4 linked regions of the Saccharomyces cerevisiae S288C genome follow. Changing the gene in region 4 together with the main gene of any one other region gives a genetic interaction. Each region holds a gene or a part of one and is shown on either strand. Other genes may lie near its edges. The genes, in order: CDC42, TOR2, PNT1 and YPK2.

The links.
Region 1: mutations in YPK2 (region 4) and CDC42 together harm fitness more than expected from each alone (negative genetic interaction), as found in Saccharomyces cerevisiae (2 studies listed by BioGRID).
Region 2: of YPK2 (region 4) and TOR2, extra expression of one rescues a mutant of the other (dosage rescue), as found in Saccharomyces cerevisiae (3 studies listed by BioGRID, with this or other methods).
Region 3: mutations in YPK2 (region 4) and PNT1 together harm fitness more than expected from each alone (negative genetic interaction), as found in Saccharomyces cerevisiae (2 studies listed by BioGRID).

What each region holds. Positions count from the first base shown.
Region 1 is NC_001144.5:601,568-607,810, forward strand, and holds CDC42 (Rho family GTPase CDC42), read right to left. Parts: upstream 3,221-6,243; coding exon 2,645-3,220; downstream 1-2,644. Other genes in the region: ECM22 (Ecm22p), read right to left, coding at 1-896; BNA5 (kynureninase), read right to left, coding at 4,191-5,552; EST1 (Est1p), read right to left, coding at 5,858-6,243. UniProt on the Saccharomyces cerevisiae protein: Involved in development of cell polarity during the cell division cycle, and essential for bud emergence. Affects signaling in the pheromone-response pathway through the STE20 protein kinase.
Region 2 is NC_001143.9:55,178-66,462, forward strand, and holds TOR2 (phosphatidylinositol kinase-related protein kinase TOR2), read right to left. Parts: upstream 8,183-11,285; coding exon 758-8,182; downstream 1-757. Other genes in the region: EAP1 (Eap1p), read left to right, coding at 1-425; MNN4 (Mnn4p), read right to left, coding at 8,753-11,285. UniProt on the Saccharomyces cerevisiae protein: Phosphatidylinositol 3-kinase homolog, component of both TORC1 and TORC2. TORC1 regulates multiple cellular processes to control cell growth in response to environmental signals. Nutrient limitation and environmental stress signals cause inactivation of TORC1.
Region 3 is NC_001147.6:819,018-825,765, reverse strand, and holds PNT1 (Pnt1p), read right to left. Parts: upstream 4,744-6,748; coding exon 3,472-4,743; downstream 1-3,471. Other genes in the region: YOR268C (uncharacterized protein), read left to right, coding at 1-232; putative serine/threonine protein kinase HRK1, read left to right, coding at 899-3,178; RBL2 (Rbl2p), read right to left, coding at 4,992-5,312; DSE3 (Dse3p), read right to left, coding at 5,608-6,748. UniProt on the Saccharomyces cerevisiae protein: Probably involved in mitochondrial export. Confers resistance to the anti-pneumocystis carinii drug pentamidine. May act by the removal of pentamidine, or its damage targets, from the matrix by an active-transport mechanism.
Region 4 is NC_001145.3:471,437-479,237, forward strand, and holds YPK2 (putative protein kinase YPK2), read right to left. Parts: upstream 4,018-7,801; coding exon 1,984-4,017; downstream 1-1,983. Other genes in the region: LAF1 (Laf1p), read right to left, coding at 1-916; YMR103C (uncharacterized protein), read right to left, coding at 1,466-1,828; phosphoglucomutase PGM2, read right to left, coding at 4,461-6,170; YMR105W-A (uncharacterized protein), read left to right, coding at 6,628-6,822; ATP-dependent DNA helicase YKU80, read right to left, coding at 6,865-7,801. UniProt on the Saccharomyces cerevisiae protein: Plays an essential role in the proliferation of yeast cells. Involved in a signaling pathway, required for optimal cell wall integrity, that acts in parallel with the PKC1-SLT2-dependent pathway.

The sequences.
Region 1 (6,243 bases), on a different chromosome or scaffold from region 4:
GTATTGAAGCTCTTCATATTGAAGTTCAAGCCCATCTTGTTCAATTGCGCTAGCTGGTCGAAGGGAATATTGCTGAAGGGGGACTGTGTTCCTTGTTGTTGTGGAATTTGCTGATTTTGTTGTTGAAGTTGTGGCTGCTGCAATCCATTCGTCACCGAATTTAGCCTACCAGGCGAGAGTAAGCCGTTAAGGCTACTTGATAAATTCATGGCCGTTGATTGAAAACTAGGTGTTATCGGTATACTCAATGGCGAATTCCCTGGTAGGGCCATGTTTGGGTGGTTGTTGTTTATCATTGAACTGGGAGCTGTTTGTGTTATATTATTATGCGCTTCAGCTCCATTTGCACTGCTGTTGGTACTGTTACTGGTGTTATTCACTAAACTCGCTAATAGGTGCGGTAACAAAAGATTCTCCATATTATTGGATACGGATGGAGGAACGCTATTAGGGGAATTGCTTTGTTCATCAGTACCAACATGTGGCAACAGTTGCTGCTGTAACTGAACTTGCTGTTGTTGACGAAATTGCTGTTCTTGTTGATGATGAAGTTGCTGTTGTTGTTGTTGTAACATGATGGCATTGTCACTCAGATTTTTCTTGCCTACCCTATCGTGGACCGCTGATGCAAATTTTGACGACGAAGAATCTTTTCTTCTTCTTGGCTGAATAGGGCTGTAAACACAGTCCAATTTCATGTTTGTACATTTCTTGCAAAATGGTTTGCCTTCATCACATTTTACTCTTCTTCTTTTACAATTGTCGCAACCGGTCTTGGACTTGTTATGAAACTTCCGTTTCCCTGTCGAAGTCTTGCTCACTTTCTTGCCCCCAACCTCAATCAGTTCAGCATCCTTCTCTCTTTCTTGTCCAGCATTCCCATCATCGGATGTCATGTTATGTTAGATGGAGATCTATGGATAAACGAAATATAAACCTTAAATGAAAAAAACCGTCGACTTAACTCCTCTATATTATGTAAAGGCGAAATGTTATTTGTGCCTTTGAAAAGTGGAGGTCTTGGTTGCTTCTCCTTCGACGATAATCGATTTCGGTGACTAGTTAGTAGATGATGTAATCGTAGACGCAGGGAACCCTTGCTTTTCCCCAATCGTAACAAAAAAAAACAAGGGGAAATAAACTATTAGATAGTACGAGTTCGTTAAGTTAAAAAAAAGGCTATAAAAGTCGAAGAACGAATGATTACGACCAACATCTATTGTTCAAACTTGCCTTCGTTGAGTTTATCGAACGCGCTCGTTTAAATTTTTCCGACAAGAACGAGGAACGAGTCACCAATTACGTTTTCGGCTCTGTCGGTTGCAGGATCTGTAAAAGCGATATAGATACACACGTCAGCATGAAGCTCTTATGATTTGGCGAGTAGTGTTAGTACGTTAAATGCTACGACTCGGCATATACTGTGCTCGTTTTTATCAGTTTCATCCGAGGATTGTAGCCTTTTTTTTTCATTTGTTGATGTTTCTCTAGTATTTTCCGTCTTGTAGTGGTTTCGGGTATGTTGAACATAAACATTAAAAAAGACGATTAAATAAACTTGAGTTTGTACAAAGGAAAGCTGTAGTCATAGAGTATTTAGAAAAAAAAGCAGCCACAGTTTACATGAAGATGTGACCAATGAGGAGGCATCGGTTTGCCTTTGAATCTCAATCGCTTGAAAATTGAGTTCTTTTCGAATGATGACACCTCCGAGAAATGGCATTTCTATGCTAGCGCCACTCTACCCTTTCAAACGTCCGTACTCATATGAAGTTTCATCCTTCACGCAGCGATCTAAAAAGTTGTAAAAAAAAATACATTTAGGCCTAGCTATATATGCTACTATGTATCATTCAGTGAAATGGCTGAGGTTATATAAAATACTGGGAGGTCGTTTTTACGCTAAAGCAGACCTTGCGGATCTTTTCCTGTAGAATATATTTGTAGCATAAGTCCAATTTTACGGGCGCATTTTCAAAATCAAGGTGATATTGACATATTTTGAAGAGCACCCAATGGGCTAGCTGCAAGAACAAAGAGACCAGAAAGCCTAGAATTAAATGCCAGAAAAATGGAAATTTATTCTAGACAAAAATTGTTCGGCACCTCTACAGACGTTTAACGAACCTGGTCCGGCCTTTGAGGCGATCAAAAAAAGGCCCATTTTTGTGTTCCGCGTAATTGGTTTGCGCCTTTCCATGGAGCTTGGTGGGCGACATTCTCAAACTGGTTTCCTGATACATCATGCACGCCCGTAAAGGGTTTAAGTATTGATTGCTAGCCTGAATGTTTCATATGCATACCGTGTCTATGCAACGAATATATTTCAGAAAAAAGCACGAAAGCCAAATTTTTGATGTTAAGAGGTGTTTTTGCCCGTAAACGGAGAAGACGTGGTAGGACTCGCAAATGTCGCGTTTAGCGTTGAAGAACATGGAAGTATTGAACGTTTGGGGCTTGACGGCTCGACTTTTTTGCACTACTCCGCCTTGAACAGACGGATGATCCTGGCGCAAGAAACAAAGAGAATCAACTCTGAGCAAAGCGAAAAAATGAAATACAACGATAATAAAAGGATAGGAAGGTGTATATATAAGTTAATTTTAGATATAGATTAAGAAAAGATGGGCATATACTAATATGACTACAAAATTGCACATTTTTTACTTTTCTTGATAACAGGAGGCTCCAAGGCGGCCACGATAGCTTCATCGAATACATTCTTCAAACCGCGTTGTGTTAGTGCCGAACACTCGACATATTTTACTGCTTTCAGTTCTCTTGCTAACCTGGAACCTTGTTCTGATGTAATCGGACGTAATCTTTGTCTTTGCAACTTCTCGATGATTACCTTGTCATCCCTTAGATCAATCTGCGTACCGACGACCAGGCATGGTACACCTGGACAATGGTGATGTACTTCAGGGAACCATTTTTCTTTAACGTTTTCAAAAGAGGGTGGGGAAATAACACTGAAACAAACCAAAAATACATCAGTAGAAGGATATGACAAGGGTCTCAATCGATCGTAATCTTCTTGACCGGCCGTATCAAACAAACCTAACGTATATGGTTCATCACCAATCATCACAGTCACCGCATAGTTATCGAACACTGTTGGAACATAGTCGGCTGGAAATTGATTCGTTGTATAGGAGATTAGAAGGCACGTTTTCCCAACAGCACCATCACCGACAACAACACACTTTAGCGTTTGCATTTTGTGGAAGAGCTAATACGTTTATTTCTTGTTTTATAAGTTTTGCTTCTCTAATTCGTTTGTTAACCTATCTCCTCAGGAAAATAGAATAGTATAATAAATAACGAATATAATTTTTTGCGACAAAGGAAACCTATTGCAAAAAGTGAAGAATGACAGAGAAGGATAATCAGTATATCTCGGTACACCTGGAACCTATTTATCAAAACGCTGCTCTTGCCTTTTCCAAGAATCGCGTCTATCATCGATCAATCAACCTTGTTTGCTTTTTTTTATCACTTTTTCCCGTATCTTGTTTCATTTGGAAGGGCCCAATGGAAGCAGTATTACCCGTATTGAATGACCCTTGAATCGACGGTGGAAGACATCTTTAATGCGATGTTTAGAAGACAATGTGCCGTATTTACCTGTATATGTGGATTATCTAACAGTCTACAATACAAAATTAGGTGTAACGTAGCTACAACAGTTGATAGAAATAATGCAACTTTTTTTAAAAAAAAAAGAGAAAGTGCTCGAGGTGGGGATTGAACCCACGACGGTCGCGTTGCTTTTAAAGGCCTGTTTGAAAGGTCTTTGGCACAGAAACTTCGGAAACCGAATGTTGCTATAAGCACGAAGCTCTAACCACTGAGCTACACGAGCATTTTCGAAAGAGACGTAAATTAAATTGTTATTTATACCGTAGATGATTGTTTTTCACGAAATTACCCTTTTGAGTTCCGGCTTGTTTCGTTCAACAGTACTACCACTGATAAGTTAGCTTCATTATTGGAAGAAGGTTGATAAATGAAAGAAGATTCACGACTATGCACGGCAACTGGTAAGTAATACACGGGCCCAGATATTTATTTTAATTCTTGGAAAGAAAGTATAAATTTATAGGTTCGCTATCAGTAAGTATACGAATTTCAAACTACGTCATATATAATATCCAAAAGAAGATGAAGGCGATGCGGTCACTCTAGGACTACAACTTATCCATCGCCTCATTTAGTGCATTCACCGCAATGTATACATCTGAAAATGTATTATATAAGGGAGCAGGAGCCAATCTAATTACGTTTGGTCTTCTTGCATCGCCAATGACACCATGGTCATGCAAATATTGGAAAACTTTGGGCATAATATCCTCTTTTCCAGTGTCAGAATCGAAGTAAAGTGACAATTGGGCGCCATGTTCTTCATCTGTGCTTGTTGGAGTTAATATTGTAAAAAAACATGGTAATTTCTCGATCCTTAAAGGGTGTTTGTAATACTTGGAGGCTTCCAACAGTTCCGTCATATAGTTCGTCAGCAACAACGATCTTTTACGAACTTCATTAATACCATTAAACTTCGCAAATAATTCCAATGAACTTCTCAATGCCACTGTGTCAATAACGCTTGGATTAGATTGCCTGAATCCCAATGCTCCTGGAATCGGCTCGAATACTTCCAGCATTTGAAATCGCTTAGCAGGATCATTGCCCCACCAACCAGCTAATCTTGGCAAACTTTCCTTAGCAGGGTCTGGTTTAGTATGCTTCGAGTGGACAAATAAGCCACCAATTCCACCAGGCCCGGCATTCAAGTACTTGTAAGAACACCAACAGGCAAAGTCAACACCCCAATCATGAAGTTGCAATGGGACGTTCCCTACAGCGTGTGCTAAATCCCATCCAACCAATATGTCGGGGAATTGGTGGGCAAATGAGGTGATTCGGCCAATATCGAAATATTGCCCCGTGTAATACTGAACACCTGACAAACAGACCAGCGCCAATTCATCTTGATTTACCTCTATGGTATCCAGGATATCTTGAGTTCTGATATAAGTCTCTCCCTCGCGTGGCTCGATCTGAATAAAAACATTCTCAGGTTCCGAAATTCCATGAATTTTGCACTGGTTGTAGAAAGCATAATAGTCTGATGGAAAGGAGCCCTTTTCAAAAAGGATCTTGAATCTTTTCTCAGTAGGTTTATAAAACGTAATTAACAATGAATTCAAATTTGCAGTGAGACTATTCATTACTGCAACTTCATTTTCTTGAGCACCCACGATGGGGGCTAGTAGTGGAAGAATAGGTAAGTCAATGCTGACCCAAGGCACCTTTCCTCTGGCTTCTTCAGGATGTTTGAAATGCGATTCCACAGCACAATCGCTCCACGCATCTAGCTCAGCATTAATTGAATTCCTAGTTGACTTCGGCATCAAACCTAAAGAATTCCCGCATAAGTACGTCACAGGCTTATCGTCGGACGATAGTCCCATGGATTTAAATGTAGGGATGTTGAATTCATCCCTCAGAGATTCCGGATATTCTCCGTCTAATTCCAAAGCTTTCTCCATAATTACCAGTTTGTTTCTTTTTTCCACAGAATATTTAGGCTTAATATGTACGTATTGACAGCATATATATTTGCTGTCTTGAATTTATTATGCTAATAAATAATTATGTTTTTCAAGCGCAGTCACCTATTTCCAAAGCGATGGGTTTGTCCGTGCCGTAGACGGCATCCCGTCGTTTTAATAACCGTTATAAAAACCGCCCCCATATTTTCGTGGGTTGACGACGACAGGCGTGGACGACGTTAATTGACGTCGTCATAATATATTTCATATTATGATTTTTTCCCTCACCATTACTTGTTCTCTCAAGTAGGAGTATCTGGCACTTGGACGGTGATGTCCTCATCAGCATCAATTGCTTCGTCTGGATATGAGAGAAAATCAGAGGATAGTGGGCCAGTGATAGTTTTTCTCCCTCGTGAAGCAGCATGTTTTACCAACTCAGAAGAAACGCCATCTTTTTCTGGGAGCGGAGACAATTTTTTTGTTCTCCGGACATTTGCAAATTGTTTTTCCAGTTCTGTCACAGCTATTTTCCCGGCTCTTTTGCGCTGTTGTTCATCTCTTTTGGCCTCAACTTTTCTCGAAGAGACTACTCTTTCCTGTTGTGTTTTTACATTTATTTTGGAGGAAATTTCCGATAATGCTATTTGGCGTTTTATTTTAATATTTGGGCTTATTAAATCAAACT
Region 2 (11,285 bases), on a different chromosome or scaffold from region 4:
AAGATTCTAAAGATGTAAATAAGAAGGAAGACAGGCAATTAAGGCAAAATAAAAATCCAAACGGAACAAGAAATAGCAAGGGAAAACAAGAGGAAACAGCAACGCCAGATCTGCCTCAACAGCAATACATGCCACCACCCCCACCTCCAGGGTTTTTTCCAATGCATCCTAACTTTCCTAACGGCCCAATGCCACCATTACCACAGGGGTTCCCAATCCCACCAAATGGTATGTTACCGGTAACAGGACAACAGCCACAGCCACCTTATCCAAATATGATGCTACAAGGAAATTTCCCCCCTAATTTCCAGCAAGGTTTTGGTAGTAACTCCCCTATGCCAATTCCATCTATTATTAATGCCAATGGCAAAAATGTTACAAACCAGTTACCACCAGGATTAAACTCTAAAAAGAATATAAAATGAGATGCGTAACGAGCGAGTACTTGACAGGAAACGACAAAAACACAGTGAACATACTATCTAAAAGCATGTTCTTTTCCTTTTCATTTTTCATCTTTATTATCTAGAGTTTGTATATAACATGTATCCTATATTATCTTATCCTATCATCATCACTTAACTTGTTATAATTCTCCCATATACTTATGTTTTCGCCTTTGATATTTACTAGTCGAAGGAACTTTTTTCGCAGTTAGTAACGTCACGCTCGGAACTAAACATTAATGAATGAGATGCATTTTTATACAACACTTTTACAGGCTATATACAACTAAGTGATTTTCAATACATTAAAACTACCAGAATGGACACCAACCGATATAATGTTGGCATAGGTTTTCCACTGATGTGGCTTGTTGGATTAGTTTATCCACTTGTTCTGGAACGTCCAAGTCATTAAACCTTCTTATATCGTTCCCCGTTAATTTGTCAGTAATGCGCTTCAATACCAACATGGCCCTTGCATTTCGAATGGCATTCTTGTGCTCGTTTTCCACCCTTTGAACTTCTTCTTCGGTAATAGCCCCATTACTCAATAGCTCATTGGCATTCATCACGGGAAGTTGAATGCCCGTTTCTTCCTCAATTTTCTTTGTTGGTAAGTCAAAACCCCAATTGATCAAAGGATCGAAAGCAAAAGCTTCAAGGATTGCCATTAATGAACCCTTGTTATCTCTAAGTACCTTCATAACATTCTCACAAGTAATACGGAAGCTACCTTCAATTCCACTCACTTCCATTGCATATGTTAACATTCTAGTTAATCTAAAAGGTACTTTTTCGGGGAATTTTTCTCTTAATATAGCAGCCTCGAAACAATCACCAAAATCAATATGAATGACTTTCCCAGTGATTCTATCCAACATCAAATTACTAGGGTGGCGGTCACCTAACCCCAATATATAACCGGTCATGGACATCACGGCTAGCGATCGAGTGTAAGTAGTTCTACGCTCCAACCACGTTTCCGATGACCTACTCTTCAGCCATAACACCTTATAAAGATCTTGTCCCTCCGTATTATTTAGGGCGTAAGTGAAGACTTCTACTTTCTGCAACAACGTTAAATTGTCATAATCAGGTGCCATTTGTAACATGACCCAATGCTCAATGTTTAAAGGAATTTTTTTGGCTTCTCTATGCTCCCTAATTAATACATGGAACGTGTCACTATTCGGTACCCAACCCAGTAACCCAGACTTCGGAGATAATGGGATTGCTGGATATTGCTGGATATCTAGATGCCTTCTAAAGCACTCAGCGTCATTTTGCAAAAGCGTGTTAACTAGTCCGAATAATTGCATGACCAAGCTATCCTGTCTAATGTCTTCATGTCCTTTCAACACATACTTATAATCTTTACCATCACTACCCTTGATACAAAACTTTCTCGGTCTTTGTTTGGATGAGATTACTGAAAATACTGGCTCGAATTTAGATATTTTAACAATTGGTTTTCCACCACTTGCACGGGTCCCGGGGACAGCCAATTCCAAATCATGCGCAGATAGTAGTTTTGGCGACACATGTTGTAGTTCAAGAGTTTGTAATTGTGGCAACTGTTTACCAATTTTCCTGAAAACATTATAGTAAATGTCCCACGCTTGGTTTAAATTACTAACATCTTTAGATTTTTTGTAATTCATCAGCCATTCGTAAGCGTCATTCAAGTCCCTACCAAAAGAATTTTGGAACGATATTTCCCTCAAAGTTTCCGGTCCTCTCTTCAGCATTTCGTACAGAGGCTCTAAAGCAGCAAACATTTTTTCGGTATTATGTTCTCCAAAAAACTGCCTACTGGCGTCATCCAGACCCTCATACCATTGCTCATGCCAAAGCACCGCCATACGTATCAATTCGTGGCTGACAAGTTCAGCCTGGTCGACCAAAACTGGACTATGTATTCTCATCTTTTCTATGATGGACAAAGCTGCTTTCTGTCGTGAGAGAGATTCGGATTTAATCGCAACCATTAAGGGGTACACTAATGCCTGCGGATGAGCCTTACCTAGATCAGATAATAGGGAGAGTAATGACCTACTAACAATTTGATTGGGTTGATGAATTCTAGAAATTAACTGTGGCAACACTTCTAACCATGTGCCTATTTGGATTAGGTTGAAACCCTCGTGCATAGCTTGGGTTGCTTCTGGAATACCACCAAAAGTAAACCATAAAGTTAATAACCTTAATGCATCTTGAAGAGAGCTTGATTCTGATAAAGAAATGGAATGAAAAAAACCCTTAATTGCTGGAATTACGTGCCTGTGTATTAAATTAGAAGAGTAATGAACTTCCTTAGCATCAAATGTATTGACGCCGATCATGCCATTATCAAACTCATTAATATCAGTTACCGAGGAAGCATCACTTCCTTCCTGTTTCTTTTTAGAGACAGATGTTAGCATAGAAATGACTTCAAAATTGGCCAGTGCCCAGTTATGCCACGCTTTGTACCATGTGTTGTCAAAATGTGTAGCGAGCAAATAGGAGCCTAGGATCGAATCTGGATTGCTCAATCTCCATTTAGGCTGTAAGCAAACTCTCCATTCTCCTTGCTTCAAGAAACAACGAGCTAAAAGCTTAGTATAATCTTCAACGTGACGAGGGACTCTTTTGCTTTGTTGAGGAACGCTTTGAGCTATCATATTATTTGGATCCAAACCTAAATCATGAGCCATTCTAGATGTGAAATTAATTAATTGCTTCAAAGCCTCATCTTGCAACCCCGTAGCCCACAAGTACTTCAGTTGTGCATAAACAACTGGAGGGGATGCCTTAGCAGTATTAGGATGATCTGGGTCATCTGTTTCTTCAAGCAATGTATTTAAGACTTTTTTAGCTAGCGCCATCCTACCCGATTTTCTGCATAAGTTGGCAAACTTAATCCTCACTTGAGCATCCTCCTTTGGCTTTATCACCAATGATCTGACACGCAGAATTCTTTGCCACACATCAATATTTTTTTGACAGCCCAGTAATCTGGTATTCCAAGTTTCTCTCATAGTTAGACGTTTATCTGAATTTTGTGGCAACTTCTTATATTTGATGATTTCCTCCAACTCTGCTATAATCTGCGCTCTAACAACAACATTATATGCTCTATTGTAGCTTTCATTAACAAGAGCTGACAATTCAGTAACTAGAAGATCCCTTGCATTAAAGATGTGAACTTCCGCCTTCTTAAAATTATTCCTATGCAAACATAAAATTGCATCATAGAATTCTTTATCTGGAGACTGCGATTTCATGACGCTAGTATACTGGGCTATTTCATCCCATTGCTCCAAACCCCAGGCAGCGCCGGCAGCCAAAGGCGCCATTGCCTTCTTCACTTCGGGTTTTGCCGTGCCCCACTTTTCAGATGCCAATTTAGAAAGCTCTTCCCACTCTCCAAGGGCATATAACGATCTTAATTTTCCCATCATCACTTCAACCGAATCTTCTCCTGCTGCCTCCTTCTCATTATATGCTGCAAGAGCATCCTCCCAACGTTGAAGTTTTTCATACCAAGTTTCCTTCAGCTGCAATTCATTGTGTTGTTGCGCATGCTTCAAAATACCAATAGCAGAATCAGTTTGGTGAAGTTGATTATTAATGCTAATCAATGCCTCGATTGTTGAATTTTTCGGCTCTTCTAAGAATTCTACCTCTTTGTAATGTAGTGCCTTCGCAAAAGCATGACATTTTTGGGCATACTTACCTAATGTATGGATTGGGATAGGCAATGGTTTGTCATCGTGCTCCATAAATTCCACTAAATTTAACAACATTTGATAAATCTCGGGTGGGTTTTCAGAGGATGATAAAGCCTTGCATAATGCTTGAATCAAATCCTCTTGGTATGACGTTTGAAGCTCAACCCAGCAACTTGAGAATGAAGCATTAAACAATTCTCTCGCCAACGGATAATAAACGCTGACTAAACTCGAACAGGATCGTAGACAAGCTGAAGGTGATTCCTTTAGAAGCTGAATAGATAGCCTTCTTATCCATTCTTGCCAATCTTCTTTGGTCTTCTGTTGAGAACAATACCATGCATTCTTTAGGATATTTTGGTTTACCGGTAATTTCGTTACTTGCATTTCGTCTTCATAATTTTTCCTTTCAGGTACTTCGTTCTCCTTGTCAAATATGATATTTGTTGGCAAGCATTCATTGTTCAGTAATTTATTAACCAGTTGATCGTACACTGAATGCTGAATCCTATTCCTCAATAACGCCTTGTTAATCACTGGCACAAAGACCACAAAGTCGGTACCTAGTTGTAAAAGGAGCAAACTTAGCGTATTCATGGTTGCTTTTGTTAGTTCTCTATCCCCATTATTCAAAATTCTTACCAACGCCTGAACAATTCTTGATGACATTTCAGAGAGGTTGATATTCTTTGCTAATCTACCCAAAGTTATAATGGAGATTTTCTTTAGACTTCCAGCAGAATACTCAGTCATTCTAACAACGATAGGCATAATCAAATGGGAATAGTCTTCTAGATTCGGCCCAAAAGTAACCAAAGATTTTAATATACGAATCGGAACGATCCTTTTATTAGACTGGTCGTTCTCAAGAATATCAAGGAAAAAGGTTAGAGTCTCGGGAACAAATCTTTTAAACTCACCTTCCAGAGCCTTAGATATCGATTCTATGACAGAAATAATTGTGATTTGTAGTTTAATGATCGGGAAAAACTCCCTGATCACACCATAAATTTTCTCGACATGGGGCCTAATATGTTGCTTGACAATTGAGATGAGAGATCCCAGTTGCTGAAAATAAAAGTCAAGTTGGGACGGCGGGCATGAACGCATGACTAAAATGATACCTGGAATAATTTGATCCAAAAAGGAGACACATCGTAAACCAAGGTTTTGAAAAATATGCATAATAGCTTGAATAGCAGCCGTGTGATGGATTGACAACGATGGATCATTCAATATCTTCATCAGATTGTGGATAACTACAGTGGGGTAATATTCATCGTTGGATGGAGATACCCCTTGCATTAGCAATGCGATGTCGATTGAAGGAGCATTTTGCTCTACTGAACTCTTTGAGTTTGATGTGACTTCTATTTCTCTGTGCTTATATGGATCAAGAGCGCCTAATATACCAATCAAACGAACAGTTCCACGCCTGATATGAGGGTTGTTTTCAGTCTTAAGAATATTTATCAAAATGCCAAGTAACTCTGGGTAGTCTAGTAAAGGGCCAACAACATAACCAGAGGAAGCAGCCAGCTGTCCTAATGTTGTTAAGGCGGCATCTCTTTTAAAAGAGTTTGATTGGTCCTGAAATGTGTTAATGATCAATGGCATCAATTCCTTTAAGTAACGCGTCATTTCTTTTCCTCCAACAACAGATAGTTCACCCAAAACCTTTAAAGCGGTGGATGCTACGGCAGATGAAGCATCCTGGCATTTAGGAAGAATGACGTCTAGAATAGGATCAATATAAGGTTTCGCTACTTCATCGCTGGAATTTATCAGCGTACATAATAGAGTTGCACTTTCCTCCTTTTTTTTTGGCATATTTGAGAACTTCAATTGCGTTAATAGTTCCAGTAAAGTTTTCCTCAAAGAAGGAACTACATAAGCGGGGTTGACAGAACTCAATCTGCCTATTATTTTGATAGCTTCCAATTGAATACCAAAAATCTCATCGTTCAGCGCCATGAAAAGTAGGCGTAAATTGTCTGGTTGGGCCAATTGAGGATCAAAATTTGACCCCAAATGCTGAAGAATTTCCAATCTAATTTCTGCAACCGGATCAGTTATTGCGATCATTAATAGCTTACTTAGCACTTCAGAAACCGAGTGTAAAGCATGAACTGATGTTTGTTTACATATATCGTCTTTGATAAATAAATCACACGACGTTAATGCTGCCAATTTTCTGACAGACGAATCCTCATGCTCAATGTAAGAAATGGTTATAAGCCTAACAAACTCCGTCAAGGAATATTGATGATGAATTAGTTGCAGCATTTTAAAACACTGAATCAAAATTTGGGCATCTGTAATATCGTCATTAGATTCACCAGTTTTTTTCATGAAACTTTGGTTTCTTGATTTACGAGCCTTTTCAATGGAAAATTGATTATTAAAATCGTATTGGTTTGATTGAATAAATTTTTCACCAGATAAGGATATCGACAGTAAATTTAGTATCCTCGAATTAACGGTAGATTCCAAAGAGGGTATTTTCTCGTTAAGGATCATTAAAGTCTCCTGCATATGGTCGGACATTGGACAGTTTAACATCAAATTAAGAAGATCTTTGTTCAAGTGCTTAGCAAAAGCTGGGCCCAAAGCACAAGCTAATTTACCAATGCAATAAAATAAATCCTTCTCGAATTGTTTTCTAACTTTGAATTTCGTTCTTAAGCCTTCCCTAATATTATCCAGAATAAGTGTCATATAGGGTGAAATGCTCGAACCAACTTCAAATGCAATATCACCTATAGAAACTAATATAAAAGGTTTATCCGAATTATTTGCAGCATTCATATCGATGTTCTTCAAATATCTTAAATAATGAACCATTATCCTATCGAGATATTTCTTTGTGAAAATGGCAGGGTCAAAAGCAGCTAAAAGAGGTAAAATAGCATAAACTTCTCTCCTTATAACATCAAATTTATATTCCTTGTACTTCATAGTAGATTTGTAAATATCATCATATTTATCCCTGAGATAAGGTGCTTTCAAGCTGAGTAATTCTCGAAATACCAACAGAGTAGCATGCACTGAATCATTCGTATTGAGACTTAAGCCATGTGTACAACCTTGAAATAATCTTTGAAACCACTGTTTTCCCAAAGCAGGGTCTCTATCCTGAATAATAGTAAGACATTTACCCAATGCCACTGCGGCATCTAATCGTATAATTAACTTTGCATCCCTTAATGGCACCCAAATATTGTCTAAGATAGAGTTAACGTAAGGGTATAAAAGATAGGGTGAATTGTCTGCTAATGCCTTTATGATTAATAGCGCAGCATGTCTCCTGTATTCCAACTTAGAGCTCGATGAGTTATTATCTGCTGTCAGAGTAAGCCAATCAATGCAAGTTCTGACCTCAAATTCGACGAAATCTGATGTTAATGTACCACCTGGCACGGTCAATCTACCTAAGGTGTTAGCCGCTAATCTCATAACTTCAATGTCACTGGATGGAATTAAAACACGTAAATAGTTCGCCAGTCTTGAAGTTTGGTTTGGCAGCTCCTCTGTACTCAGGTAGAATGAGATCAGAGTATCAACAGCAAGAATACCACCTATCTTCTCACTTGAAGTAAACCCGTGAATAAGTTCAAATATCTTATTGTTTAAACTGTTGCTAAACCTTTGAAATTGCTCAGCAGATACTTCCCTTGCTAATGAGGTCAAAGTAGTGCTTAATTCATTAGCGCCAGAGGCTCGTTCTTGTGGCACATCGCTTTTAAGTTTATCAAAAATCAAATTTAAAGTAGAAAATGTTGTATCTAGTTCTGAATCTACAAAGGATATTTTACCAATATGACCAGCAGAACCAGTGATCACTCTACCAGAGTCATTGGGCCCATTGTGATTGGAATCTGTGTTTGAAGTAGTTGACATCTCATCATCGTGGGAGTGCGATTTGTGTGTAAGTTTCTTTCTTGTTCTGTGTTTGCCTTCGGCCCTTTGTCGTAAAGACAATAAGTTAGGTGGCGTGGTGTATTTGTTAATGTATTTATTCATTTTTCATATGGGGAAAGTAAAGATCAGAAATCTCTTTGAGAAAGATAACTATTTGATCTTAATGACTATGCTCTTTATGCACCCGGTATATTTTCCCTTTCTACTGCTCCTAATCTACCTGTAAATAAATACAAGTAAAGCTCAGTTAAGGAAGTGATTGGTGTCACGATGATAAAAATTGGTCTTTCCTACTGTCATTACATTTCTTCCAATTTTAATTGCTGCCATATATGTCAGTCTCTATTCAAACATATTCAGTGCTTAAAAAGGAATATCCGGGTAAATATTCTGACATCGCCCAAGAAATATACGATATAACTTAAAGAAAAGAGTTGTAGTAAGCTAATAGCATTAAGATTAAATGTATGTTTGATTAATTGCAATATCATGATGTTATAGAGTAACGTGGTATAATTACCACGATTCCGTCGAATTGTTTGCCACTTATCACTGGCGCCAAAATGCAGCAGTATGTAAAAAATGACGGTAATAAATATATAATACAAATGCATAGAGGAAAGGCTATAGAAATGAAGAGATTCATGAATTTTCAGTCAGGTTCTCCGACTTTTAATTGCTGTGCCCCTCCTCCTGCTTCTTTTTTTCCTCTTCTTCGTTCTTCTTCTTTTCTTCCTCTTCCTGCTTCTTCTTTTCTTCATCTTCATTCTTCTTGTTTTTCTCTTCCTGCTTCTTTTTTTCCTCTTCTTCGTTCTTCTTCTTTTCTTCATCTTCATTCTTCTTATTTTCTTCATCTTCATTCTTCATCTTTTCTCCTTCTTCCTGCTTCTTCTTCTCTTCTTCTTCCTTCTTCTTTTTCTCCTCTTCCTCCTGCTTCTTCTTTTCTTCTTCTTCCTTCTTTTTCTTCTCTTCTTCTTCCTTCTTTTTCTTCTCTTCCTCTTCCTTCTTTTTCTTTTCTTCTTCTTCCTTCTTCTTCTTTTCCTCTTCTTCCTTCTTCTTCTTCTCCTCTTCCTCCTTCTTCTTCTTCTCCCTCCGCTTTCTTTCTTCAAGTAACTTGGCATAAGCATAGTCCTCGTATACAATAATAGGGTCCTTATCAAACATTTGAATACCCTTTCTGTTAACGTCGGATAAAGTTGGCGCAAAAAGGTCTAAACCATATGAATTTAAATCCAAAAAGGAGTTGCTACTAAAGTTTAAATTTGATTTAAAATCCACAGGATTTACTTCAACAGTATTAGCAGGAGTATAATCTTCTGTGTTATCATCTAGAGTTGTTCCAGTTTCATCAAAAGTAATGTTGAAAAGTGAAAAATTCCTGTATTTCAAACTTTCGGACAGATCAATAATTTTTCCGACATATTCTTCATGAACAATCTTGGTAACTTGATCTAATGTAGTCTGGTTCATAGATTTTGATAAATCCTTCCACATAGCTTTTTCATAACCAAAAAGAAATGGGTCCTTTGCAGGGGAGCTTAACTTAGGAGCAACATTAATGCGCAATTGATGTAATAATTTCTTTTTTTCAATAAATGTCAGGTTTTGGCAGTATTGAATTTCCAATTCCTTTTGCCTATATGCAGTGACATTGAAGGAATTGTACAAGTTAGTAAATACCTCGATAAAGCCAGCTTTTGGAATATTTTTATAAATTAAGCGAACATCATCCATGGATAGGTTTTTGAAAGAGTATTCAGAGACTTTGTTGGAATCAAAAAGTTTCGACTCAAATTTCGTAGACGATATTTCTTTCAAGAGGTTCGGATTCCATGAATTAATACTGGGGATGTTTGGATACCATGAATTAATATTACTGCATTTCTTTAACCCGTCATAGTCGAACCAAAATCTAAATTCGGGCAAATAAGCAGTATTTTTGTAAGCATCAAATGCATATCTATCAGGTACATGATATTCATTGTGCAAGCAGTAGGTATGTCTGTGAGGAATCAACGCTGGCACACCATGGAAAACAGTATTGATTAAGGGAGATAGTTCCTCGAACGAGTTAAAATGGTTGTTTCTACAATTGTAAAGTTTAAGTTTTTCGTTGAGAAAATATCTTTGTTTAGGATTCAACTTGTTTTCAATGGTCTTAGACTTTGGTAACTCTTCCAGTTCCTTTTTCAAAAGATCTTTCAAATCAGTATCAGTGGGGACTCTTTTATGATTTTTATTTTCGTCGCTGGTAATGTAATCACGTAGCTCAGTGATGTTTAGTGTAGCCATATTGACTAACCCATCATCTACTTTGTCGGGCAAAGTAGCGGTCTCACCGTTCGATTCAGGGATATTATTGATATCCAAATGTTCCTCTTGCAACCGCTCTTCAATATAAGAATTCAAGTAATCCCTACTAGGGGCAGAAGTGCTAGCTAGACCGGTAATATCAATGTAAAGGCCGGTGTCGACGTCAATGAATCTTGCATCGATATTGTTTTTACCGTTACCGTTAATTCTTACTGTCAAGGAGTCGCTGACGTCTAGGAAATAACGTCCATTACCCTGTCTTGGGTCTTCCAATATAAGAGATTGGTTGAAGTATTGACTGAGCAATTGTAAATGCTTAATGGGCATTTGCAAGTCGAAATCGTTATCCCAAGGGAAAGCCATTCCATTGTAAAGATAGCCGTACAGCGTTCCGTGAGACAACCAAGATATGATGCCGTTGGCTTTAGTAAACTTTTGGAATGTTCTGATCATTGAGTTCAATCTAGCCTGGTATTCTTGTTTATCATTGATTAATGTATCAACATTGAAGAACCTCTTGTCACGATGGAACCCCATACCTTTATATTGCTTCACGGCACCAGCCTCATAGAAGAACTTTCTTTGCAATGCAGGGCTTGTCTTTACGGAATTCTTCAAACTGTTCAGATAATTCTCATTATGAGCGGAAAATTTGTCCGGATAGAGTTTCTTCTGTTCCTCTAACTCTTCAATTTTTTTGGAGGCATCGAACTTGAAATCCGAAGGGGATAAATAAACCAAATCTTTATCAAAAGTGAATTTATCAGTTTCTTCAATTTCCAGTTTGTATAGGGAGTTAACTTGGTCGTTATTGACGAATTCCTGGAAAAGCCTGTTATGGTTGAATTCTACGTCCTGTTTATTTTTCTTTCTCTTGTTCGTAGAATTAATG
Region 3 (6,748 bases), on a different chromosome or scaffold from region 4:
CACGCTAAAGGACAAAATCGGTTTATCCGAGCGGTTTACGGGAAGGGTCTTTTGCTATCTCGCAGTAGCGTGTGCCTGGTTATCCCAATACTACCACCACACCTGTGCTTTTTTTATCTTGTACGTGCATGTATGCGTATGTTTTCTTTTTTTCCGTTGGTGCTTATTCGCTACCGTCTCGTTGATCCATGAATCACAAACACAAGCCGGTTCTGCTTACTATACAAAATAGTCTTGTGTCTTGATTCATATATCCGTCAATAACGTAGCCTTTCTTTATTTTCCTTTCGCTCACCATACTCTTGCATTAGTGTATTTTGTCTTTTATATCGCCAATAAGTGCCCAACTCTTCTACCTGACCCCTACGTCGTCGCCGCCCCTTTTCTTTTTCTTCGCCTAGTTCTATTTGGCTATATATTTCAGAGTGACAAATCTTTAAGAGAGACAAACTGAGAATTAGCATATAGAATCATTCATACAACTGTTTACAAACAAGTAAGCCCAAGACAGTTCCCAACCGCTTAAAGAAGTTTTTCCTAGAGGGAGCAAAGTTCGTTTACATTTCACACACACAGTTTTTTTTCACTTTTTTGGGCCTCTTCCTTTTCCCGTTTTTTTCAAAAAGCTTAGAAATCTTCTTCACCTCCTATTTTTCTAGAATCGTGAAGAATTTCCAGATTTAACAGTTTTCCACTTTTTCAATAAGGAAATAGTAGGAATAATAAAAAAAGGATAGTAGTAACGATATACGTCGACTTTCCAGACTGGTCTCGAGCCGGAATTAAATACAATAGCAGCGTTTGACTACCACATTGTAGCTCCGCTAGAATTGATCGAAAACAAAAATAATAACACTAATAATTATAATAATACGGTAGAACTATTTCTCGTATAAAGATGCCTAATCTATTGTCGAGAAACCCATTCCATGGTCATCATAATGACCATCATCATGACCGTGAAAATTCGTCTAATAACCCGCCACAGTTGATCAGAAGTTCTAAATCTTTCTTAAACTTCATTGGTAGAAAACAAAGTAATGACTCACTAAGAAGCGAGAAATCTACAGATTCCATGAAATCTACCACAACCACTACAAATTATACTACAACAAACCTTAATAACAACACCCATAGCCATTCTAATGCAACCAGTATCTCAACAAACAACTACAATAATAACTATGAAACAAACCACCACCATAATATTTCTCATGGGCTCCATGACTATACTTCTCCCGCCTCTCCAAAACAAACCCACTCCATGGCAGAATTGAAAAGGTTTTTCAGACCTTCTGTAAATAAAAAACTATCTATGTCTCAACTTCGTTCCAAGAAACATAGCACCCATTCCCCCCCACCTTCAAAATCAACTTCTACAGTTAATTTAAATAATCACTATCGTGCCCAGCATCCTCATGGCTTTACAGACCACTATGCTCATACCCAGTCTGCTATACCGCCAAGTACCGATTCTATCCTATCTTTGTCCAATAATATTAATATATATCACGATGATTGTATTCTGGCTCAAAAATACGGGAAATTGGGTAAGTTATTGGGTTCCGGTGCCGGTGGGTCCGTTAAAGTTCTTGTGAGACCAACTGATGGTGCTACTTTTGCCGTCAAAGAATTCAGACCAAGGAAACCGAATGAGAGTGTGAAAGAATATGCCAAGAAGTGCACCGCAGAATTTTGTATTGGTTCGACTTTACATCACCCAAATGTTATCGAAACTGTTGACGTTTTCTCTGATTCTAAACAAAATAAATACTATGAAGTTATGGAGTACTGTCCGATTGATTTTTTTGCTGTTGTTATGACAGGCAAGATGTCTCGTGGCGAGATCAACTGTTGCTTGAAGCAATTGACTGAAGGTGTTAAATATTTACATTCTATGGGATTGGCACATAGAGATTTGAAATTGGATAATTGTGTCATGACTTCCCAGGGTATTTTGAAATTAATTGATTTTGGTAGTGCTGTTGTGTTCAGATATCCTTTTGAAGATGGCGTAACGATGGCTCATGGAATCGTGGGTAGTGACCCTTACTTAGCGCCGGAAGTGATTACCTCCACCAAATCTTATGATCCTCAGTGCGTCGATATATGGTCTATTGGGATCATATATTGTTGTATGGTGCTTAAAAGGTTTCCATGGAAAGCCCCTAGAGATTCTGACGATAATTTTAGATTATATTGTATGCCGGATGATATAGAACACGACTATGTTGAATCTGCCAGGCATCACGAAGAGTTACTGAAGGAAAGAAAAGAAAAGCGTCAAAGGTTTTTGAATCACAGTGACTGTTCCGCCATCAATCAGCAACAACCAGCTCATGAATCAAACTTGAAAACAGTTCAAAATCAAGTTCCAAATACTCCAGCATCTATACAGGGTAAAAGCGATAACAAACCAGACATTGTGGAAGAAGAAACCGAAGAAAATAAAGAAGATGATAGCAATAATGATAAAGAAAGCACGCCAGATAATGACAAGGAAAGTACCATCGATATTAAAATAAGCAAAAATGAGAATAAAAGCACGGTAGTTTCAGCTAACCCAAAGAAAGTAGATGCCGATGCCGACGCTGATTGCGATGCTAATGGTGACTCTAACGGCAGAGTGGATTGCAAGGCTAACAGTGACTGCAATGACAAAACGGATTGTAATGCTAACAATGACTGCAGCAATGAATCGGATTGTAACGCTAAAGTTGATACTAACGTCAACACTGCTGCCAACGCTAACCCTGATATGGTTCCCCAAAACAATCCACAACAACAACAACAACAACAACAACAACAACAACAACAACAACAACAACAACAACAACAACACCATCATCACCAGCATCAAAATCAAGACAAGGCCCATAGTATCGCTTCCGATAATAAATCGAGTCAACAGCACAGAGGACCTCACCATAAAAAAATTATTCATGGCCCATACCGTCTATTACGTCTACTACCACATGCTTCAAGACCTATCATGTCCCGTATACTGCAAGTAGATCCAAAGAAAAGAGCAACCTTAGATGATATTTTTAATGATGAATGGTTTGCCGCCATTGCTGCCTGTACCATGGATTCAAAAAATAAAGTTATTAGAGCGCCTGGCCATCACCATACATTGGTTAGGGAGGAAAATGCTCACTTAGAGACCTACAAGGTTTAATACGAACTACTCAATTATTTTCACTTCTTTTTTCGATTAATTTAATTGTATTTTCTATTTTTTCTTATTTTTTTCTTTCACTTTCCAATTGAAACGCTTGACGAAAATCTATATACTATATATACGGAAGAGTATCTATCATATTATACATACAATATAGAGTAACATTGCCCTTTGCTCCAAAAGCAAGAAACATCACTGAATTATTGTTTGAATTTGCAATTAGAAAAGTTTAAAAGAGTTTTTGTTTTAAACAATATGTACAGCATAGATAATGTCATGAATATTTACATCTATTGAATATCTTTCGTAGCTACCAATTCTGAATTATATTTTAACAATGATATATTGTTGACACCCCATTTCTCACTGAATGTATGCTTTCCGTTTAAGGATATAGTGTCATTATATCTTAATGTCCAATAAAGAAACAATCTTTTCAGTAAGATTTCTTTCCCTAACGTGTCATTAACCATCTCATTCAAGTCATCGCCCATGTGATAAAGTTTTCTTTCAAGTATACAGTTAACCAATTCTCTATCACTTAGCGCGATTTTAGTTTTCTCAACATCAGTGTTGAGTATACTCTGCAACAGCAACCAGTCATCGATAAACAGATACTGGTAAATTTTTTCTATCTCATTGCAAAGTAGCTTCTGTAATTTTAACTTTTTATAAATATACAGTTTCCAGTTTGATATCATACTTTGAGGAAAGCTTGTCAGAAAATTATACAAATTCTCAATAGGAACTGCATATGGTGGCTCATACTTAATTGTACCTTGCTTAGTAAACTCTAAGGGACCCAGACCGTAGTTACCTTGTGTGCTTGTTGTTCCCTTGATATATGAGTTGGAAAGCTTCTTGTATCCACCAGGAGTTAAACAATTGTACGGACAGACACGTGGAAAAAAGGTAAAGATCAATACACTTACCTCCTCAAATATGAATACTAAGGTGAAAAATACAGGTAATTTCCAGATTTGATCTCGTCTGATCAGTTCCACCAGTGTTTTCCTATTGATTGAAAGTGGCCTTAATGGGGCTTTTGCTGAAGAACTTGTAGGCAATGATGAAGACGATAGTCTTGTATTGATTTCATGCATTTCTATTTCCCGTACTAAGTTAGCCAATGCACCGTTTTTTATGCTGAATTTCTGCTCTTCGTTTCGAGTATCCCAGAATACTTTTAACGTGTTCTGAATTCCTGTTTTATAGCTTTTTAAAAGATACAATCCAATTCTAAACCAACCTGTCATGAATTTCCTCCATTTGCCAACCTTAGTATCCAATTTTACCTGTTCCAAGATCTCCTGCTTGGGGAACTTAGTCATTGGTAGGGATCGATTAGAGTTTAGAGTAGCGGCCAGAGGCTCTGGAGAATCGGATGGTGTTGTCTTCGCATTCCAATCGACATCCTGTACTATCTGTAGTGAACCTAATTTGTAACGGCTATTCAACGCTTTAAATAGTGGTGCCTTCACTAAACCGTGCAATTGAATAGAATCGCTTTTTATCACCGATGGTGCTATGTATTTTCGTACCAGTGCAACTCGAGAATCCATATCGATGGCATTAAAGGTGTTAACTCAATTAAATAGATTAATAAAGTTCTTTTTAAATATAGAGTAAAATGTTCTTATATCTCGTCACTGTATCAACAGCCGTCTTCCACTTTTCTACTTTTGCATATAATATTCCGTGCATTTTCTAGCGAGATTTATTATTCATCCGCAACAGGTTTGTACATAATAAAGTATAAAAACCTGCATCAAAATAAATGCGAAAAGGTAAGAAAAAGGTTATCTATAGATTATTTAGAATCGAGTAATTCCTGTGCAGACGTAATAGCGGATCTTGCATCACTGACATCTTCGGTACCCTGGTAAGTTTTTAGAAATTGTTCTAAATCCTCTTTAAATTCTCTAATCTTCTCATATAAAGTAGGTAATAATCTTTTTGTGTCATCAAGGACCTCCTCCTGTTTCTTCAAGTCATATGGGTCAACTGACTTGTCTTCTTTAAGTTTTGCCACATGTGCTTCCTGATCTTTCAGTTCTTGTTGGTAGTACCCTTCCTCCTTAGTCAGCCTCTTCAAGGCCTTGACTTTTATATCCAATTGTGTGGGTGCCATTGATAGTGAAATGTAGTTTTCTTGAGTTCAACCTGTTGTGCTTTATGCTCAAAAATGCCCTTATAAGACGCACTGTATCTAACTGCTCTGTTTATATGTAGCCATAGTAGTTCTTCATTATGATCCTTTGCGGGTAATACTACAAAAGGTGCGACATAAGCGGCCATTTATCGTTGAAATTGTGACACTTTTCTATTGATGACCACCTCTGGTGCAAATACACAATGTGTCACCGCTCATGCCATTATTCTACTTATATACGTATGATTTTACTTGAAACCTAGAATAAATTTTTTTATTCGCTGTAAATGCTACTGCTGCAACTTGCTATTTCAATGCAGTCAATTTTTTTTTGAAGAATATTCAAAGCCCTATCCTCGTCATCGTTGTCATCTCCATCATCACTGTCATCGTCAAAAGTCATGACATGCATTATTTTAGGCGGATCGAGAATTACTTTTTTTAATTTTCTTATAGAGAGTTTATTCAAAAGCGTATTGCACGATGATGTTTGTGCAACTTTTGGAAGCTTGTTATGTATATCCAGATCTTCCACTGATACTGTTGAGGGCAAAGTCTCCGCAGCAGTGCAATAGCCTTCCTCACTAGTGCTTTCAGACACAATGGATGATCTCATTGTCCTCTTATTCGTGTTCCATACTATACTTTCTACTTCGGACAATTCCTCATCTGAATTCGATTGGTCAGAGTATGTACTGCATCCAGACGTGGTGTATTCTGGGCTAGAAATGACATCGTTTAATGTGTTAGAATTGACAGGTTTCAACTTTGGTGTTGTTGACGAAAACAAAGTCTCTGTGTCGTCAGGGCAGACGACATATGGTACCTGAAATGCCTCATTTTTTTTAGCTATTTGTTTTGAAGCGCATATATCGATAATTCTGTCAATTTCTGAATTTAGGGCAGTAGAATCGCTTGTAGAAACGTTTTCATAGGCTGATAGAATTTCGTCAAACAATATTTCACTACCGCTTTTGCCATACTTATTTTTTCTACAGCAATCTTGTGTCTGTGTTTGCATTAGGGAGACCGGATTAATAGGAGTAAGGGCTTTTACAGGCATTACAATTGGGGCCGGGCGAGAGACAAACACTTTATCAATAATATGATCCGAATGTGTCTTATGCCCTAAAGATTGTACTACTGCAGGCTTTGACAGCGTCGGCCTACGTAAACTTTTTCTTTGAATTGGTAGTGATTTTACCTTCTTTCTTTCTCGTAATGGTAGAATCGTGCTTTGAGGACAAACTGGTCCCTTGGGAACTTGCATGTCAGTAAATTTTTTCTCTCTAATCACCTCAAGTTGGGAGCGTGGCCTCTTCTTGAAATCATGTAAGAACAATTCTGGAACAGACTCTAACCGTTTCTTCAGTTTCAGTGTACCCCCAAATCTTTTAGACAACCTGTTACCACCG
Region 4 (7,801 bases):
GATGCCATAGTTTTACTGTCTTATCCATCGATGCTGACAAAATAAAATTATTTTTAGACCAATTTATATCCAGAACATCTTGCACGTGTTCTTTATACAGTCGCAAAGGCGTTGGGTGAAAGACAGGCGCATACAAATTCAATAATTTTTCCTTCTCTTCGTATTTCTCTGTAGCAGAATCCAAAAATTGTTTTTCTTTTGGATTGTTCAATGAACTGACCTGCTGTTTGATCCGCATCGACTTGGCTCGTGCCTCTTTATTTGATTCCGCACTCGAGTCCAATTCGGCTCTTTCAACTGGAGAGCCAATAACTTTCCATATTCTTATTTTACCATCTTTGCTACCAGTGGCCATAAATTTTCCATCGCGGCTAAACTTTGTACTCCATATAGCTTTAGAGGTTGGTTCAGATGATTTGGAAGTGGAGGTAACCGTTTCACCTTCGTAGGCCATTAGTTCTTGCGCGAGAAACAATCTTCTAAATTGTTTCAGGTTTTTCCGACGTTTCAACATTTTAATGTATTTTGGCTCTCTCAAATAGTTTTCAAATTGCTCTGTATCAATGGAATTGAAAGGGTAAAACTCATTGACCCTAAGATTCGAATTTAAAGTATTGCCTCTCTGTAAATGTTCCTTTAGTCTCATAAATGAATCAGTGGCGTTGCCGTTGTTACTATATTTTAATTTGTCATTTGTATTATTAGTTTTTGTCATTCTGAACTTCAATGGCTCGATATCTGCAGAATATTCAAGATTTAGTTTGCTTTTACTTTTACTTTCACCGGAACTGGACTCGCCGTCGAAGCTCTCTTGATGCGACCGACTCTCCTCTTCAGATCCAGTGGTATTCGAGGAATTGCTGAATTCAGAATGTACCTTGCTTATACTTGTTTTATCCTCCGCCATATTCGTCATATTTCTAATTCTCGTACTATATTATACGCCACTACCGTATACAATATGCCAAGAGCTCAGCAACTGCTTTCTATTCTTTTTCTTTGATTGTCTTTGTTCCTCTTTTCCCTCTTTCTTTTCCTCCTCTGTTTAACAAGTTGGAGAGAGTTGCAGTCTTGTTCCCTATACGGTCCAGCTGTGACTTGTACGAACGCGTATTGTATCCCAGGAAGAAATAATGATGTAACTCGCTTACGAAGCTTAAGAAAGGGCAAAAAAAATGTGTCCCCCCTAACTGCGAAAGTGAAAAAAAAAAAAATTAATGCGTTGAATTTACACAGTTCTATGTATAATTAACTGCTACGATAGAAACTGGACAGTAGTAAGAAAGATTGGACTAGGCATCACCCAGACTTTACTTTTTCGGCATACATATCTATTTATATATAGTTTAATACGTAAATACAAATATATATATACTGTAAATTTTAATCATTAAGCTTTTCTTTTTTTTTTGTTCACGCTTTCACCCTGTGAGGCGAATGAGGTTAGCTTTTTCCCTTTACGGGACTAGGTAAGGCTCCCCATGGCTGAGCCCGCGCAAGGAAATCCAGGATCATCCGCGGAAGAAATAAGCTGCTCCCGGCCCAGACTATGTAAGAAAAGTGGCAACAAACAGAAAAGCGAATCTTTCCTTTCAGGCAATGCAAGGGTCCTTTGCCGTTTGGCGAATTCCGGTAACCTCGACTTGCGCCCCGCGGGCTTCGCTTTGACATCCGCGGGTATAAGCGTCCGTCCTTCGGCCGACAACAGGTCGGTCTTTGATCTCAATTCCGTAGATGGAAGAATTCTGATAATGCTGTAAAAGAAATGAATAAGCAACATAAGTCGTGTGAGAGTTGCTAAAAGAAGAGCGCAGCCTCTGCGGACCATTCTATTTTCTGTAGTTCTTCTTGTCCCCGTTAACCACAATAGTAACGGAGTGCGTATCGCAATCTACTTGAACTATCCATTTTTGAAAATTGCAACCTCTTGCGGCTATAGCTATAAATTCCGTCCGGCTCGGCTCGGCTTGCTTCGGCTTGCTTCTAACTAATGCTTCTCCCCTGCGAAGGAGAATCACCCAACTGTTCGTCACCAATGTACGTCCACCCACCAAACTGCTTTTGAATACTTGCACTTAAGTACTCGTCCACTACACTATCGATCGGTTTTTCCTTAGTGAACTCTTGATCAAAATTTGCAGTATCTATTTCACTCTTTACAATTGGCTTGTAAGGCGGAATATAGCCCTTCAAAAGTAGCTTTTTCCATGAGATGTCTTTAAAGAAAGGATGGTTACGAATTTCATCTGTACCGTTAACGCCGAGTCTTCTGCTTGGGTCTCTGCTTAAGAGGCCAATTAATAGGTCTTTTGCCGCAGGGTCAAATCCATCAGGAAATAGTAGCGGTTGCTGCAGAATTTTCTTGTACATAACAGGAACGTTCTCATCATAGTATGGTGGCAGCCCTGTCATCATCTCATACAGTAAGATACCTAATGTCCACCAGTCAACTGTTTTAGTATAGCCCTGCCCCAACAAGATTTCTGGTGCCAAATATTCGGGAGTACCACAGAAAGTGTCTGTTTTGTCATTATCCTTCATGTTCAGCTTGCAAAGCCCAAAATCACACAGTGCAATATGTCCTTGGTAATCCAATAGAATGTTTTCAGGCTTTAGGTCACGATAAATGACGTCAAGTTTGTGTAATGAATCGAGAGCACATAATAGTTCTGCAATATAAAAACGGGAGCGTGCTAGACTGAATCGTCCCTCGTGTTGTAAATGGTAGAACAGTTCACCGCCATTAATGAAAGCTAATACTAGGTACAACTTCTCCGGAGATTGGAATGAGAACTTCAACGGAACAATAAAGGGGCAGTCAACTCTTGCTAGGACAGTCCTCTCCGCTAAAGTATGTGTCACTTCACATTTCGATACAATATATGCTTTTCTCAGAGCCTTCAAAGCGTAAATCTTTTGGGTATCTTTTTTCCTTACTTGCATCACTTTGCCGAACGAACCCTTCCCGATAACCTTCAATAGATCAAAGTCATCAATGGAGAGAGGCTTGTTCTTAGAAGGTTTGTAGTCCACCGTGATATTTAATTTACCATATCCCCTTTCTAAAGAAATCCAATGGTGATTGTATAGTCTTATTTGGGCTGCAGAATCGATTTTTAAATTCAAAGGTAAATGGAAGGAGTCCAAATGGATATCCTGATTTGTATTGATTTTTTTTAAAATCTCCTTCAGTACTTCGTCCTGCTCGCCAATCTCCTGTTGCCAGTTTTTAGAGGGTAAAAGTAGGGATGGAATCCTTGCAAAGACATCGATTTTTAAAAATCGTAATTTTCTTGTTACATCAAATGTCGATATTTTGTTAAACACTGGTTGCTCCATCGTTCCCATATCTGGACTAATAGTAGTAATAGAATTATCAAATTCAATTGTAAAATAAAGTAATGGGCTTGAATTTGTTGACCCAGGTAACAATATAGAGGAAGGAATGAATTTAGTGGCAAAAGCTCTATCTATCAAGCCTTCCCCTGCTGAATCTTGATCCACTCTCTTGTATCGTGGTAGCTGCCGCATTATGGCTGCAACTTCGGAAGCGTCATTGGATGATGAAGTAAGGATGCCGGAACTTAGTAGTTTTTGTAAAATAGTAGAGTTAGAGGTGATAGGGAAGGGAAGAGTAAAATCTTTACCAGAATACACCTTCACTGTCATTAGTCCGGATTCCGAACTCGGTCCCTGCGTCTCAGTAGACGACTGACTAGCTTTCCTTTCGGAAGCCTTAGAATTGTCATTTCCTATCCCCGATGGATTCTTGAAGGATGCATCATTACGTAATTTTGGAGAACTTAAGGAACTTGGGAGAGTCTCATTTGTATTGATCTTTCTTATATGGTGTTCGTGTTCATGATTATGATTCTTCGGGCTACCATCGTGATGTTTTTCTCCATGGTGGAAATGAAACAGGCCATTACCCCACGATTTTTCATTTTCATCTTCACTACTCCCATCATCTTCTTTGGACCTTCCTAACTTAAACTTGGATATTCGCCAGGAATGCATGTTACTATATGTATATTTGTATACGCGATAATTTGACCCAGTTGAACAATTCTGGTTTAGGAGCACTTTGGCTGAATTTTATCATTTTATTTATAAATCTAAGGATGACGGCCATTTTACAGATTTCTCGAGGGAAATATAATAAAAAACTCGGGGTAGGTAATCTGAATTCGGGGATACGCTAATTTGGGAAAAATTCGTGAATTAGATATAATTAGAAACAGCACTTATGAAGAAGATACTGCGATTAACCAAAATATTCTCCTCCTTATGAAAAAAAAAAAAAAAAGACTCAGAAACCTATGCAATCGTTTGCTAATATGTCGAAATATGGATCTATTAAGTATATAAAGTATGTGTTCAAAAAATTGAAATTTTCTTCTTTACCGTTAATATTCATTGAAAAAGGTGAAAATCATTAAGCCATTAGTAAATCATTCGTTTTAAGTACGAACCGTTGGTTCTTCAGTTCCTAAAACTTGTTTAAAGTTCAAGAACTTGATGACCGAGTTAATAATTGGCTTCAAGTATTCTTCAGCTGTCTTTTGGTATTGTGATTTATCATCGCAGTATTTTTCAATGTACAATCTAATGGTAGCACCTGAAGAACCTGTACCTGACAATCTTAGAACGAATCTTGCACCATTGGAAAGCTTGACATATAAACCTTGATGGTCAGAAACAGAACCGTCCAAATCTGTGTATGAAAAATCACCACAATCGGTGACCTTAAGAGACTCATCGGCTGGGAAGGCGGAATTAACAACACCCGATTTGGTAACATATGCTCTCAATTGATCGACAATCTTGTTAGCTTTTTCTGTTTCAACTTTTTCAAAATCATAACGAGTGAAGAAAGTACGGCCGTACTTTGCCCAGAATTCATTCTGTATCGTCTTAATAGAAGCTTCGTTCTCCGGATGATGCTTGTTGTAAATGGCCAAGATGTTCAACCACGCCATAATGGCCCAAACACCGTCCTTTTCCCTTACGTGGTTGGAACCAGTACCAAACGATTCTTCACCACAAATAGATAATTTTTTAGCGTCGAACAAAGCACAGAAAAATTTCCAGCCAGTTGGGACCTCATAACAGTTTAGACCATGGGCCTTGGCAACACGGTCTATGGCTCCTGAGGTAGGGAATGAACGGGCCAGACCATATATACCTTGCTTGGCGAAATATGGGATTTCAGCTGCATATTCGGCAATAATTGCGACGGAGTCACCTGGAGAAACGAAAGATGGGCCGTAACCGTAAATCATATTTCTATCACCATCACCATCGGATGCAGCACCAAACTCAATCTTTTCACGATCTACTCTTTTCACTAACGAACTGGCATAAGTTAAGTTTGGATCTGGATGCATACCACCAAAATCCGGAGAAGGATGCCAGTTTTGTAAAACCTCATCCGCCGGTAAACCAAATTCATCAACGAAAATAGCCTTACCGTATGGTCCAGTTACACCGTTCATACTGTCAAACAGTAACTTCCAATTCTTAGTAGAACGTTGATTATCGATGAATTTCTTGATTAAGTCGAAATCGAAGATTTCCTTCAAGAAGTTGACATAATCTTTTGTAATATCGATAATGTCAACGAGTAATGGACCGTATTTCTTGTTCTTGCCTATCGTACCCAAGTCTAGTTCTGGGAAGTCTTTGATAATCTTATAGCTGGTAAGCTTTTTGGAAATCTCCCAAATAGCATTTGTGACGGATTCAGGAGCAGGACCCCCATTGGATAAGTTATACTTAATACCCATGTCATTTTCTGGACCACCTGGATTATGTGAGGCGGTTAAGATAATACCACCAGTACATTTTTCCTCGTAGGTTCTCATGATGTGAGAAGCGGCTGGCGTAGACAGAAGACCATGCTGGCCAATAACTAACTTTTTAATACCGTTGGCAGCACCGATAGCGGCAATCTTATGAAGAATGACATCATTGTAGTAACGCCCATCACCACCGACAACAAGAGTGGCACCTTTAGAACCCTCTGGAATAGCTTCCATGATCGATTGAATGAAATTTTCTGTGTAGTTAGGTTCGTCTTTAAACACCTTTGTCTTCTTACGCAAACCAGAGGTACCAGGCTTTTGGTCTTCATATGGTTTGGTGGGAACCGTTTCAATTTGAAATGACATGTTATGTTAACTTTTGTTACTTTTTTTACTGAGAAAGATTGGTTGATCTTCTTCTTATTATCCTATTGTTCAAGCAACGCTGAAGAAAGACATGGAACACTATCTTCGAAAATGAAACAATATTAACGGTACCTTTTTATATTTCCCACATTGTTCGGGCGGCAGTCATCCAGATTCTGAAAGAATCAACTATTTCTTTTACACTTTTCAACCCCTGTTTGTTCCTGGAACTGCACATAACAAAAGTATAACGTCCCCTTTCACGTAAGTTCCCCACGAAAAAAGTAGTGCGCGACACCACCCCTTTTCGTGAGCTCCGCGCTTCTCTTCACCGAGCCTAAGTTGGGCCTCTCCCCCCTAGAAAGAACAAGTTGGCCCTGTTGTCCTTAGCTCGCAAGCTCAGGGGCAGCAGCGTGTGTTGAGATTAGAGAACCGCTCGACCTCAACGGATGATAGTATGATTTTAGTACATACAGGGAACGTCCTCTACCCACGTTTTATTGTTGTTGCATTTACTTTTGAACAGCGACAGGGGGGAAGGTGTAAAGGAGGAAAAGCAACCTGCATGGCTAGTGTTCAAAGTTACAAGGTAACAATGCAAATCAGTAGTATGACAATTATTTACCCGCTATTTATTTTTTTTTCTCTTTAACTGTGGTGACGAAAACATAACTCAAAGGATGTTAGACCTTTTTTAATTATTGCTATTGTTTGGACTTCCCCTACTGTGTTGTTCACCGCGCTTCAATAGCGTTTCTAGGTCCGGGATCTTTTCCCTCTCAAGCTCAGTTTTTAGTTCGGAGTCGAGTTTTAATTTGTCTACTTTCTTGATGCCGAGCACTTCAACCAATTTTGTGCTATCAAATTTCTTGTGCGTGTAAGGACTTATTTTGTTTTTCAATGAGTCAGGAAGCTCTGGGATTTCAAATTCCCTGGAATCATTGATCATCAGTTGGTGAATCCATTCCAGTAGCACCTGTTGTTGCCTGTAGACAAAAACCGTGGGTATTCTAAGAGGATCCTTTTTGTTTTCCTCTTGGTCTTTATTTAAAGAGGGAAGTGGGAGAGTGGTGTCTGTTGTTACTTCGCCTATGGGTTGATAGTAGTTGCCTAACGGAATCTCTGGTAGCTCATCTGTATCCATTGAATCTACAAATTGTTCCATAAGCTCATCGATTTGATGCCCGTCTGTTTCCTTTTTCAGCGGTACCCCGGATGTAGTTGTTCGATCCAGAAGTTTTGGAAAATCAGTTACCCTCTCGTCTTCCGCGAATGGTAATCTACACAAGGTAAGGCTCTTAACAAACTTCTTCTCGGAATTAATGTTACTGTGCTCAATTAGAACGGGACACAATGCACACATATTCACTTCACTGTCTTTCTTGCTCACATATCTTGCAACAGCAATTTTTCTATTTTCTAGCATAACATCCACTAGAGCACTGAAAGCCATTAAGTCAGATTGACAGCCAAGTCTTGTGTCGGCGGTAATGAAGGAGGATTCCGACGTCAAAAAGTACCTTGGAAGAGCTTCTCTATTCAAAAATCCTCTTAAATCCAAGCCTGGAAAAGATTCATATACAGTTTGATCGACTAGAACGGACGGTAGCACTACGTAGTCTGCACCATAA